Saccharomyces cerevisiae S288C: one gene and its partners. Each later gene encodes a partner of the first gene's protein in a complex. Each region holds a gene or a part of one and is shown in the gene's direction. Other genes may lie near its edges.

What was found.
Region 2: RSM24 (region 1) and RSM28 share a complex: the UniProt entries of both Saccharomyces cerevisiae proteins name them as parts of the mitochondrial small ribosomal subunit.
Region 3: RSM24 (region 1) and PET123 share a complex: the UniProt entries of both Saccharomyces cerevisiae proteins name them as parts of the mitochondrial small ribosomal subunit.

The regions. Positions count from the first base shown.
Region 1 is NC_001136.10:812,426-816,321, reverse strand, and holds RSM24 (mitochondrial 37S ribosomal protein mS35 RSM24), read left to right. Parts: upstream 1-2,169; coding exon 2,170-3,129; downstream 3,130-3,896. Other genes in the region: histone acetyltransferase NGG1, read right to left, coding at 1-1,870; HMO1 (Hmo1p), read right to left, coding at 3,472-3,896. UniProt on the Saccharomyces cerevisiae protein: Component of the mitochondrial ribosome (mitoribosome), a dedicated translation machinery responsible for the synthesis of mitochondrial genome-encoded proteins, including at least some of the essential transmembrane subunits of the mitochondrial respiratory chain.
Region 2 is NC_001136.10:1,434,941-1,438,813, forward strand, and holds RSM28 (mitochondrial 37S ribosomal protein mS46 RSM28), read left to right. Parts: upstream 1-1,989; coding exon 1,990-3,075; downstream 3,076-3,873. Other genes in the region: IZH1 (PAQR-type receptor), read left to right, coding at 1-934; MZM1 (Mzm1p), read left to right, coding at 1,277-1,648; CORVET complex subunit VPS3, read right to left, coding at 3,175-3,873. UniProt on the Saccharomyces cerevisiae protein: Component of the mitochondrial ribosome (mitoribosome), a dedicated translation machinery responsible for the synthesis of mitochondrial genome-encoded proteins, including at least some of the essential transmembrane subunits of the mitochondrial respiratory chain.
Region 3 is NC_001147.6:630,360-633,918, forward strand, and holds PET123 (mitochondrial 37S ribosomal protein mS26 PET123), read left to right. Parts: upstream 1-1,804; coding exon 1,805-2,761; downstream 2,762-3,559. Other genes in the region: SUMO ligase NFI1, read right to left, coding at 1-181; PUP1 (proteasome core particle subunit beta 2), read right to left, coding at 607-1,392; mRNA splicing protein SME1, read right to left, coding at 2,923-3,207; mRNA transport regulator MTR10, read left to right, coding at 3,480-3,559. UniProt on the Saccharomyces cerevisiae protein: Component of the mitochondrial ribosome (mitoribosome), a dedicated translation machinery responsible for the synthesis of mitochondrial genome-encoded proteins, including at least some of the essential transmembrane subunits of the mitochondrial respiratory chain.

The DNA.
Region 1 (3,896 bases):
TATTTGAAGCTGCTGTATGATGCTTCTTTCTTTTCTTGGGTACGCGAATACGTTTGACATAAGCCTGGTCGATTTGTTTGTCTAAATCTTCTAAAATAGATGAGTATTCCTGCCATGCTAGTTGTCTTTCCACTAGTGGAATCAATTGGGCTTTCCTCTTTTGGTTTTTCTTGGTCACTTGTTTTAAAGTGCCTTGCAATTCTCTTAACTCTGCGCTTATTTCGTCGTCTTCTCTACCGGTGACCCAATCGGGGTCATCTGAGTTAGGGTTGTTCTCATCCTTAGGCAAATTCATGTATATCCCTACATACTTTAGTTCTCTTTTCAATCGTTCTTCGAATGTTGGATAGTCCAGGTTAATTCCATTTGTTATCCACCCAATTTGTTGGGGTAACGTACTTGTAGTACCGCCATTACTGCCTTTATTTTCTGCCAGTTTTGCTTGGAAAGATGCTTCCTCATCAATGTCATTGTCAGGTGTTTGAACACTGGGCCCGTTCTCCTGAGATAATGTCATGTCTACAGTATCATTGTTGTTGTTTCTAAACGATTGTATATCGTCTTCCCCTCCGGTTCTCGGTAGTCCGCCATCCCGTATTATTTTAGAAGATTGCAATTCTGATTTGTCATTGTCATCTTTTAATACAGCACTCAACAGCCTAGATAATAAGGGCCCACACGATATACTGCCCGATTCCAAAGCATTATCATCAAGTTCGTTGGCACTTTTTTTTGGTAGTATAGTAGATGCATCGTTTGAATATGGTGAAGGTTTTTTATAGGCAGAATTTTTGTCGTTTTCATCTTTGAACCAAACATCTGTGTATAAAGGGCCTAGTTTCGGTATAATAAACGGGTTTACCTCAGGGTCATAAGTTTTGTCAAATTGCAAGCTATCGGGTATAATATATTTCATCTTCAAAAACTTTAAGTTGTCATCACTAAGATCTTTGAAAAAATTTTCCACAAATGCTAGAAAGGTATTGAATTGAATTTGGTTGGTTGGTTTAGGATGCGAAAAGTCCATATCCGGTAATTCACCTGGTAACAGATCTTTCAAATCATTTGTTGGATAACTAGCTACATTGTATTTTTTTTTTAGGAAGTCTTCTCCTGTACTTTCTAGTCCCTCTTCATTGAATAAGCCGAGTGCTGCTGCTGCTCGAGGTAACGTTTGCGATACTACAAATTCTGATTTTGGATTTTTAACAGTTGGATCGTTTTCCATTTTGTCAACGTCAATTTTTTGCTTCTTATTGTCTGGCCTCTGTGTGTTTTCATTTTCAGTGGCCCTATTTTCAGTTTCAGAATCGAACGGCCTCTTTTCTCTGGGTTGATCTCTATGAACTTGTAAATCTTTGTCTTCATTAATTTCTTCTTTAGCCATATTATCAGCCGCTTGTTTGATGCTTTCTACATCGTTCTCAATTGTGCCGGAGATTTCATTAGAAGGAGGAGGTTTTGGTGGGCTTTGTACCCCTTTATCAATTATATTCGTTTCTTCAGTAGCAGTAGAACTTTCGTGCTGCCCGTCTGCATTTGAAGTTTCCTGCTTTTCATCGTTTGCTTGCTTCTCATTTTTACTGTCTCTTATTTTCCGAAGCGCTTCAATGGTCTCTTGATCACCTCGGGCAATTGTACCCAGTATTTCATTGAGACTATCCAATTGACTTTGCAATTCAAGTAAAGTTTTTTTATTGGGTATGGACCTAACACTTTTGCCATTGAGCATTCCAATATCACGCTCGAAGGTCAAATCTAAAGTTTTAAGCATTGACGATAAAAGCTTTGACGGAGTATTGTCGCCTCCCTCCTTTTTAGGAAGTTTCTCGCCTTTTGGCAGTTTTCCTCTTCTTCCATGTCTAGGCATATGTCCTGTCCAATACTTCTCGTCGCTCCGTCTTTGTTATGTTTTTCCAACTTCCTTATTGTAATCGCTACCACGAATATTTCATTTGATGGCGTTCATTTAATGACTGCCTGCCATTGTTTTGTTGTCGTCGGCGAACCTTTATCGCGTTGCACGTCGGAGCTCTTTAATGAGTTCCGCTAAGAAATTACGCTAAATGGGACCTTTTCTGTAACTGATTCTGAGTATATTTCGATCTGTGAACAAGGCAGTAGAGTTACCGAAACATTTGACACTACTAAAATACTATTCTTAGGAAGATGAAAGTACCATTGGGGTTATGGAAAGTCTCTCGGGGTAATTTGTGGAGCACCCAGAAAAGGGTTTTGACAATGTCTAGATGTTTGAACAGTGATGCTGGTAATGAAGCTAAAACTGTGAGAGAAGGACCAGCTTTTTCAGCAGATCTCTATATGCATCCCGAAAAATGGAAGGGTTTACCTCCTCAAAGAATTTTAGAGTTATATTGGGAGAGAATGGCTAGATTGGGTTCAGAGTATAAACCTAACAAAGACGAACTGAATGCCTTATTAACCACTTCTGAGTACTCAAATGTACCTGTTAACGATATTAAAAAGCTATATCACAGAGGAGAACAAGGCGCTATTGATATAAAAGGTGGAAACGTGAATCGCGATAACAGTCTTAGACCGTTTATGTTTGATGAATTGCCATCGCAAGCTCAGGAATTGGTTGCCCAACATCGTGAACAAAGGTTCTATAATCGATTAGCCGCATATGAGTTACCGCTATTAGCTCAATATCGCCAGGAATACAAGAGACCATCTCCAGAAAGTCATCCGGTCACTTATAGATACACTAGTTATGTTGGCGAAGAGCATCCCAATTCGAGGAAGGTTGTATTAAGCGTTAAAACCAAGGAATTGGGCCTGGAGGAAAAATCATTACATAAGTTCAGAATATTAGCCAGGTCGCGTTATGATCATACTACAGATATTTTTAAAATGTCTAGTGACAAATTTGAGCATGCATCACAAAATGCACGTTATTTGCATGATATTCTTCAAAGGCTGTTAGCGGAGTCAAAAGATTTGACGGAGGACGATTTTAGCGATGTTCCCCTTGACACAAGGCATACTATAGCTAAGAGTTTACGTAAAAAGAAGCGGGATTATGAGTTTCCTGAACACTGGAAACGCCCTGAAGATGCACCAAAGAAGAAATTTGATATTGTAGATCAATTATTGAGCACTCTTTAATACATGTTCAAAAACAAAAAGAACGGCCCCCCTGTATATATTATGTATTTGTTTTGCTTCCTTCTTTTTCTCTAAAATGTACATAGTTTTAGCACAATACAACATTGAGAGGTTTGAAAAGGTATAATCGCAAATTTAGAACTATATACATACATATACACAACGAAAATGAAAAGGAAGATATACTGTTACAAGAGGAGAGGGATAGATACATATATATATATATATATGTGCATACACTATGGGCAAAGCAAGCCCATGCTGCTATATTTTATTCCTTTTTTTATTATTATATTTATTTTAGAAAGACAGTAGAGTAATAGTAACGAGTTTGTCCGTCCATCAAATAGAAGAGTTGGATTTGTCCTTCTTCTTATCCTTCTTCTTCTTCTTCTTCTTCTTTTCCGAAGATCCATCATCATCGTGAGGTCTCTTTTCCACAGGAGGTTCAGCGGCGTGCTGTAAACTGAAAGGAATTGGAACCGGCGCATGAGTTGGACCGTTTTCCAAGGAAGCTGGTGGTAGGGTACCGTTTTTCTTTGCTTCTAAGTATTTGGATTTCTCTCTTTGGTAATTCTCCAACTCGACGTTGTAAGCCTGCTTCCATTTTTCTTTTTCGTTATCACTCAATTCCTTCCATTTCTTGGAGATTTCTTGAGTAATCTCAGTTGAGGATAAAGGTGGCAAGCCAGCCTTTTGTCTGTCTTCACGAAGTTCTTGACGAACGTACGCAGAGTAAGCAAAGAAAACAGTCAGTGGCTTCTTTG
Region 2 (3,873 bases), 620 kb from region 1:
TAGAAGAAGAAACCAAGATAGTGTCTGCTGCAAGGCAACGAGAGCCTCCATTAAGGTGGAAGCTGTCTCAGGCCAGACAGTTTTTGAAAAGCAAAAACTGCTACACAATTTCGATGAGTTGCCAGAATGGCAAAAAGATAATGACAAAATTCTCACCGGGTACGTTCGTGAAACACTGTCATGGAAAAAGTGCTTATATTCTTTATTTTATTGGAACAACGAGACTGTGAACATTTATACACATTTGGTACCGGCTATCGTATACTTCGTGTTTGCCATTACGTTGACCAACTACTTTCTAATTCCCGTTTTCCCCTCCACTTCCTGGTCCGATTACACCGTTATAAACATTTTCTTGATGGGCGCTTTCTCATGTCTCATGTGCAGTAGCTGTTTCCACTGCATGAAGCAACACTCTGAAAAGCAAAGCAATTTCTGGAGCAAGCTCGACTACTTGGGGATTATCAGTTTGATTTCCTGTTCTATGATCCCTATAATATACTTTGGTTACTTCGACCACATATCCTACTTCAGTCTTTTCACGATTGTTACTTTAGTCCTGGCAACATTTTGTACAGTCTGTGTCCTCCACGACAAGTTTAACACTTCCACATTTCGTCCATTTAGGGCCATGTTTTTCATATTGTTTGGATTTAGTGGCTTACTCCCATTGACCACAGGGTTTTTCAAGTTCGGTATCCAAGGGGTTCTTAACAGAATAAAAGTCAGCTTTGTGTTTTGGGAAGCTCTCTTTTACATTTCAGGGGCTGTAATCTACGGGTTTAGGATTCCTGAAACTTTGGCTCCAGGGAAGTTCGATTTCTTCGGTAGCTCTCATCAAATATTTCATATTATGGTGGTTCTTGGTTCTGTATGCCACTTGAAAGCCATTATCGATTCTTACAAATTAATGCATTCTCATATCCACCCTTGATGGGCCTACAACTACTACAAAATCAAATAAATAACATTATATATCTAAGGTTAGAAAATAATTAAATGCAAAAAAAGTCTTTATTCCTTTTTAGATATTCGTCACATCATGCTTTTATCATAGATCGCATTTTGACAGGTACTTCGCTATATTAGCCTAATTAATTTTGGTCTTACTAAAGTGAGTAATGCCGAAAAATTAAACGTTTGAATAAGTGAACCTACTACAAAGGAAAGAGAGGAAGAGAAAAGGATAGGACTAAAAGACTTCCTTATATTTTTCGGTACGCTTGCGTTTCACTGAAGAGAATAAAAAGAACAAATTATATAAATTTAACACACTATGAGCACGAGAACAAAGGCCCTGAATGCATACAGGCATGGCTTAAGAGCAACCCGAATAGCTTTCCGGAATGATGCTGAAGTATTACTAGCCGCGAGAGCTAAAATGCGTTCAGGAATGTTATGTCCCCCAGATCCTAAACTCACCACAGAGGATCAGATTCAACATTTAGAGGATGTGGCTGTTTTTTTGAGACGAAACCTGGTTCAGGGCAAAAAGGTTGATGGCTCAAGTACTAAGGAGCCTAGGTACCATTTGAACATTCACAAAGACACCGAATTGGGTGACAATGAGACGATTGCAGACCCTACGGCAAGAGTGAAAACAAACTTAAAGGCAAGACCATTTAAATGCTCTGATAAAAAGCAATGATAATGCCTTGATTTTGTTTTATCTTCGAAGCTATATACATGTAAATACTTTTTTAGTACCTAGCAACTTTGCTAGGTGGCATATAAACTGATTTAGCACGATATATCGTTGCATTTGTTCTGTTTGTAGTATGTACATGTATACAGCTTGTTGTATTTGATGTGCTACTGAAACAGCGTAGTTGCTAGTGCTTTATCCCTTTTGACGGAAATGAACAAAGCTTTATAGCGGAATTAAACTTAACGAAACTGGAGAAAGCATAAAAGAGGAAAAGGGCAGCGGTAACTCATTAAATAATCTAGTTGGACGAGCCATAATAAGAGAAATAGACGGAGTAGAAAATGCGCTCCTCCATGTTTAGATGTGTGAGTCGCGCTCATTACAGCACAAGTGTCACAGAAGATTTCATAAATAGCATTCTAGCAAGGGCTCAAGAGGCAACAGCAAAAGCTTCCTCCAATGCTCTCAAATTGGACAAGATGAAGGAGGGTAGAATGCAAAATAAGAGGAGAAACGGGAATCAGAATAGGAATAGTATGAACAATAAAGAAAGCAGGGGTAGAGAGGGAAATCAAGGAGAAAGAAACATGAGACTGAAAAACCGTTCTAGTGATTCTGTTCGTGCTAACAAGCAGCAGTGGAATAAAGGTGCTAATACGTCTTTTGTAAAGAATCCTACTGGAAATACAGTAGTTATGCAGCCACAGTTCAAAAAGATGCAGAATGGCAAAAATAATTTGAAAGGAGATGCGAGAGTCGAAGATGATTTACTTGATGTCTTCAATTCGTCGATGGAGCAAAAACCTGTTAATTTCAATGGAACCCCCAAATCTAAAGCAAGGTTTCAAAAAAAGAGTCATATCTTAACAGCATCTAAAAGGAGAAAGGCTCCTCAACAGCAGCTACAGAAGGTTATCAAGAGACCTGTCAGTTCAGAATATGTACTAGAAGAGCCCACTCCTTTATCTTTGTTAGAATATACTCCTCAAGTTTTTCCAACAAAGGAATCCAGATTAGTCAACTTTACCTTAGATAGCTTGAAAAAATCCAATTACCCCATTTACAGATCGCCAAATTTGGGAATCCTCAAAGTACATGATTTCACCCTAAACACGCCAAACTTTGGTAAATATACACCAGGATCCTCCTTGATTTTTGCCAAAGAGCCTCAATTGCAGAATTTACTTATTGAAGAAGACCCAGAAGATTTTCATAGGCAAGTAACAGGAGAATATCAACTCTTAAAACCATATGTGAAAAAAGATTTTGAAAAACTGACGAAATCTAAAGATACTGTGAGTAAGCTCGTACAAAATAGTCAAGTTGTGAGGTTATCATTACAATCTGTTGTTATGGGCTCCGAGGAAAAGAAATTGGTATATGATGTTTGTTCTGGAATGAAACCAATTTCTGAATTACAACAGTAAATCAAACATCGTTATTTCATTCTTACATACCTGTAAATATCTAGTACGTATAAAATTTGAATTGTATGCCTGAACAGAAAAAGAATAGGTGGGCTCTTCTTATCCTTGACTATCAAAATTCCGGCTTAGTTCGTCAGAAATGGATATTTGATTTTTCAACAAACATTTCCGCAAATTAGATTCCTCCTTCTTTTCTTGATACTTAATAAGTACCTTTAAAAGCAATTCGGATATTGTTTGTACGGGAAATACGGAAGGTATAGTTTCGAGGATCTTTAATTGAATATCTGTATCATCTAAAAGTTCAAAATTTCTCTGTAGCAAATTAGTCACTAATTCAACTGAGTAATTCAAAGAAGATATGTCCAAGTATTGTTTCATCACCGCAACCAAGTTCTGCTTGCCTATGTATTTTTCTACACTTCTGAAATCATTAAATGACAAATATATTTTCAGCAATTCTTCGGAAGAAACCCAGTTTGTTAATTCATTGGGGAAAAATAACAAGGTCAATATGTGTTCTTTATCGATCTTGGAAATTTCGTCGAAGGTGAAATTAATAAACTCATCATCTTTTTCATTTTCCGATTTCAAGTTTTCACATTTTTCATAATATTTGGAAAAATTTTCGCACTGAAGACTATGCTTTAATTTGATATGAATAAAATTTGTTATATCTGTCTTATCATACGCGAAATCGTCTTTGTACTCTTTGATAAAATCTCCAAGAATGGACCATATGTTACTTTGGTTGATTATTTCTCGCAATTTCGCCAAATAATAGTTAAAGAGAAATTT
Region 3 (3,559 bases), on another chromosome or scaffold:
ATAAATCCAGAGATTTGCATATTTGCTTTAACTCTAGAACCTTTAATTGTTCCATTTCATTTATTGCATCTTTTATTTCATTTATGAGTCCACCACCTGTGTTGGACAAAGGGTTCGTAAACATATAACTGGCATTATTATTATTATTATTATTATTATTATTTGACATGACACTTGCCATCGTGCTCTTTTCCCTTATACGTTTCTTGATTATCAGTGTATCGTTTGTGGTATTCTTAGTTCCTTGATATTTGCCTCAGTAATAGCCCTTTAAAGACCAACAAACGGATGACTATAGAAATGTTAATTTTAGTGTTATGTTATATGTGTGGTACTGAGCTGTGTTTGTTATATTATGCTCTGTGTGATAAAATAGCTAAAATGGATGGATAAATTAACACGAAAATTAACGAACAAAAATCAACTAACACACTTCAAAGCATAAAAAAAAGAAAAAAGAAAAAGAATCAAGAACAAATAATAAGCTCTGCTATAAGAAAATATATTATGTAAATAGTTTTGCGGTTAGTTTTTGACTTCCTTTATCACATTTTGTTGAACAATGATTTACTATACTAAAATATACTTAAGTTCTATGTTTTACTTTCAAGCCGTTATATCGACTTGTTCTTCTTGTATGTCACAAATATTGACAATACTCTCCTTCAGCACAGCAGTTGTACCCCTGGGGAATTTGTAGCTTTTCTGCTTTTCTTCTCTAACATTTGGAGTCAAGTAATTCCTCAAGTATTCTGCATCTTTACCTATTTCCATGACACACACATCCACATTAGAACCAGACCCCAAATCATTCCAGATACCAGCCTGGATTGCATCAGAGGCCAACTTTATGGCTTCCTCCTTCGTAAGGTCTTGCTTCCAGTGTGATTCCAACACAGCCATTGCCGCTAGAGAACCAGATCCTAGAGAAAGGTAGTAGCCCACGTCAGTAGAACCATGCGCATGAATGGAGAACAAATGAGATCCCGTAGGGTCTACACCTGCAACAATCAAATAAGCACCAATATGACCTTGGTACTTAAATAGGTGCTGCTTTAGCATTTGTAAAGCTGAGACCACTCTTGGTTCTCTCGAGGTATATAAGGAATGTAATTCAATGTTAGACCCGATCAACTGCGTAACTGCCTCAGTATCGGCGGCGGTACCGGCACCAGCACACCATATTTTGGGGGAAATTCTATGCAATTTTGCGCAATTCTTATCTGCGACAATTGGACCTTGTGTTGATCTTGTATCTGCTGCAATCACCACTCCGTTATTGAATTTTACGCCTACAATGGTGGTACCCGTGGAAGTTGCCTTAGGTTGTGTGTGCGAGTTTTCCGCTAAGAAATTATTTCTTTGATAATTGTCGAACGATAAACCTGCCATGCTCACTCAATTCTATTTTCTACAATCAGGTTTATGTGGGGGGAGTATTCCTGAAAAAATTTAACGCTTTACTATACAAACTCTCCACCTCAACTGATCACCCTTCTGCTGAATTATTAGTTTATCCTTTTCATCTTTCTTTTTGGTATTTTGCCACTCGGCCGGGTTATAAAATACGAAACATGGCCCTAATTTACCCGCTTTTACAATAAAGGGTTTGTAATGAGGGTAAAAATATTGGCCCTAATGAAAAATCACTAGCAACGGAAGTGCAAGTAGAACCCTGAAGTCGCCGAGTAGGAAAGTGATTCCCAAGAGGAGTAGAATAAAGAAGAGAATCTACATATGGATTATTTAGGTAATAGTTTCATTGCTGATTGTCAACAACAATAATAACAAGGATAATTGAAGTATGGGGAAAGGTGCGGCCAAGTATGGTTTTAAAAGTGGGGTTTTCCCCACAACAAGGTCCATTCTGAAGAGCCCCACTACAAAGCAGACTGATATTATTAATAAGGTAAAATCACCCAAGCCCAAGGGTGTTCTTGGTATTGGGTATGCCAAAGGTGTAAAACATCCAAAAGGATCACATAGATTATCACCCAAGGTAAACTTTATCGACGTGGATAATCTCATTGCGAAGACCGTTGCTGAACCCCAGAGTATAAAATCCAGTAACGGTTCAGCACAGAAAGTGAGATTACAAAAAGCTGAATTAAGAAGAAAGTTTTTGATTGAAGCATTTCGCAAGGAAGAGGCTAGGCTATTACACAAACACGAGTATTTGCAGAAGAGGACAAAGGAACTGGAAAAAGCAAAAGAACTGGAGCTAGAAAAACTAAATAAGGAAAAATCTTCAGACTTGACTATTATGACTCTAGACAAAATGATGTCTCAACCTCTTTTAAGGAACAGATCACCAGAAGAGAGCGAATTGTTGAAGTTGAAAAGGAATTACAATCGATCGTTGTTGAACTTTCAGGCGCACAAGAAAAAGCTAAACGAATTATTAAACCTCTACCATGTCGCTAATGAATTCATCGTTACAGAATCCCAACTACTAAAGAAAATTGATAAGGTTTTTAACGATGAAACGGAGGAATTCACTGATGCCTATGATGTAACTTCTAACTTCACGCAATTTGGAAATAGAAAATTATTACTTTCAGGTAACACCACCCTACAAACCCAAATTAACAACGCAATAATGGGCTCTTTGTCAAACGAAAAGTTTTTCGATATTTCTTTAGTGGATTCATATCTGAACAAGGATTTAAAAAACATTTCCAATAAAATTGATTCCAAATTAAACCCCACCTCTAATGGAGCTGGAAATAATGGTAATAATAATAATACAACCAACTTGTAAATAACTAATATATATACTACTTCAACATGTCATGTATTCGAAAGTGCCTTAGACGCATTACAACTAAAGAAAAGAAGAAAAAAAAATCAAATCGAGAATAAATATGCCCATGTATATACGTCACTTGCGAATTGTCTATTTCTCTCGTTCCCCTTTTTCTTTCAGTCCGCTGATGTTATCAATGTGATATTATCGCCTTTCAACAGGATCTTCCCCAAGGGCGTGCCCTTCTCCACATCTTCTTTACCATCGGCACTATTCACAGGAATTTCCACGGCTTCATCGATGACAACATTCATGAACTCATCAAATCCAACTATTTTACCCTTGATTCTTATGCCGATTTGCTCGAATAACCATATCGTTACTGGTGTTTGCTGTTGTAAGAAGTTAAATATGCAATTTATTGGTGGCACCATGGCCTTGGTTTTAACTTTGTTCGACATTCCAAGCCTCTTGTTTTTCGCTCTATATCCTTCCTGTGTTCCTTAATCTCCTTTCCTTAGTATTATCTCTTACCTTTACCATCTATTATTGTTATTTCACTTCAATTTTCTATTTCTCTGTTAGATGCTCAGGCTTTCGGTATAATTGAAAAAAATTTTCGAACATAAGGGATATTGACAAAAAAATAAATGAAGGAAAAAGGCATGAAAATACTCGTTGACAGATCAGTATCAAGGATTTATTGAGGATATACTAAGGATTAACTTGCGTTATGGACAACTTACAGGTATCTGATATAGAAACTGCTTTACAATGCATATCGTCTACTGCATCTCAAGATGATAAAAACAA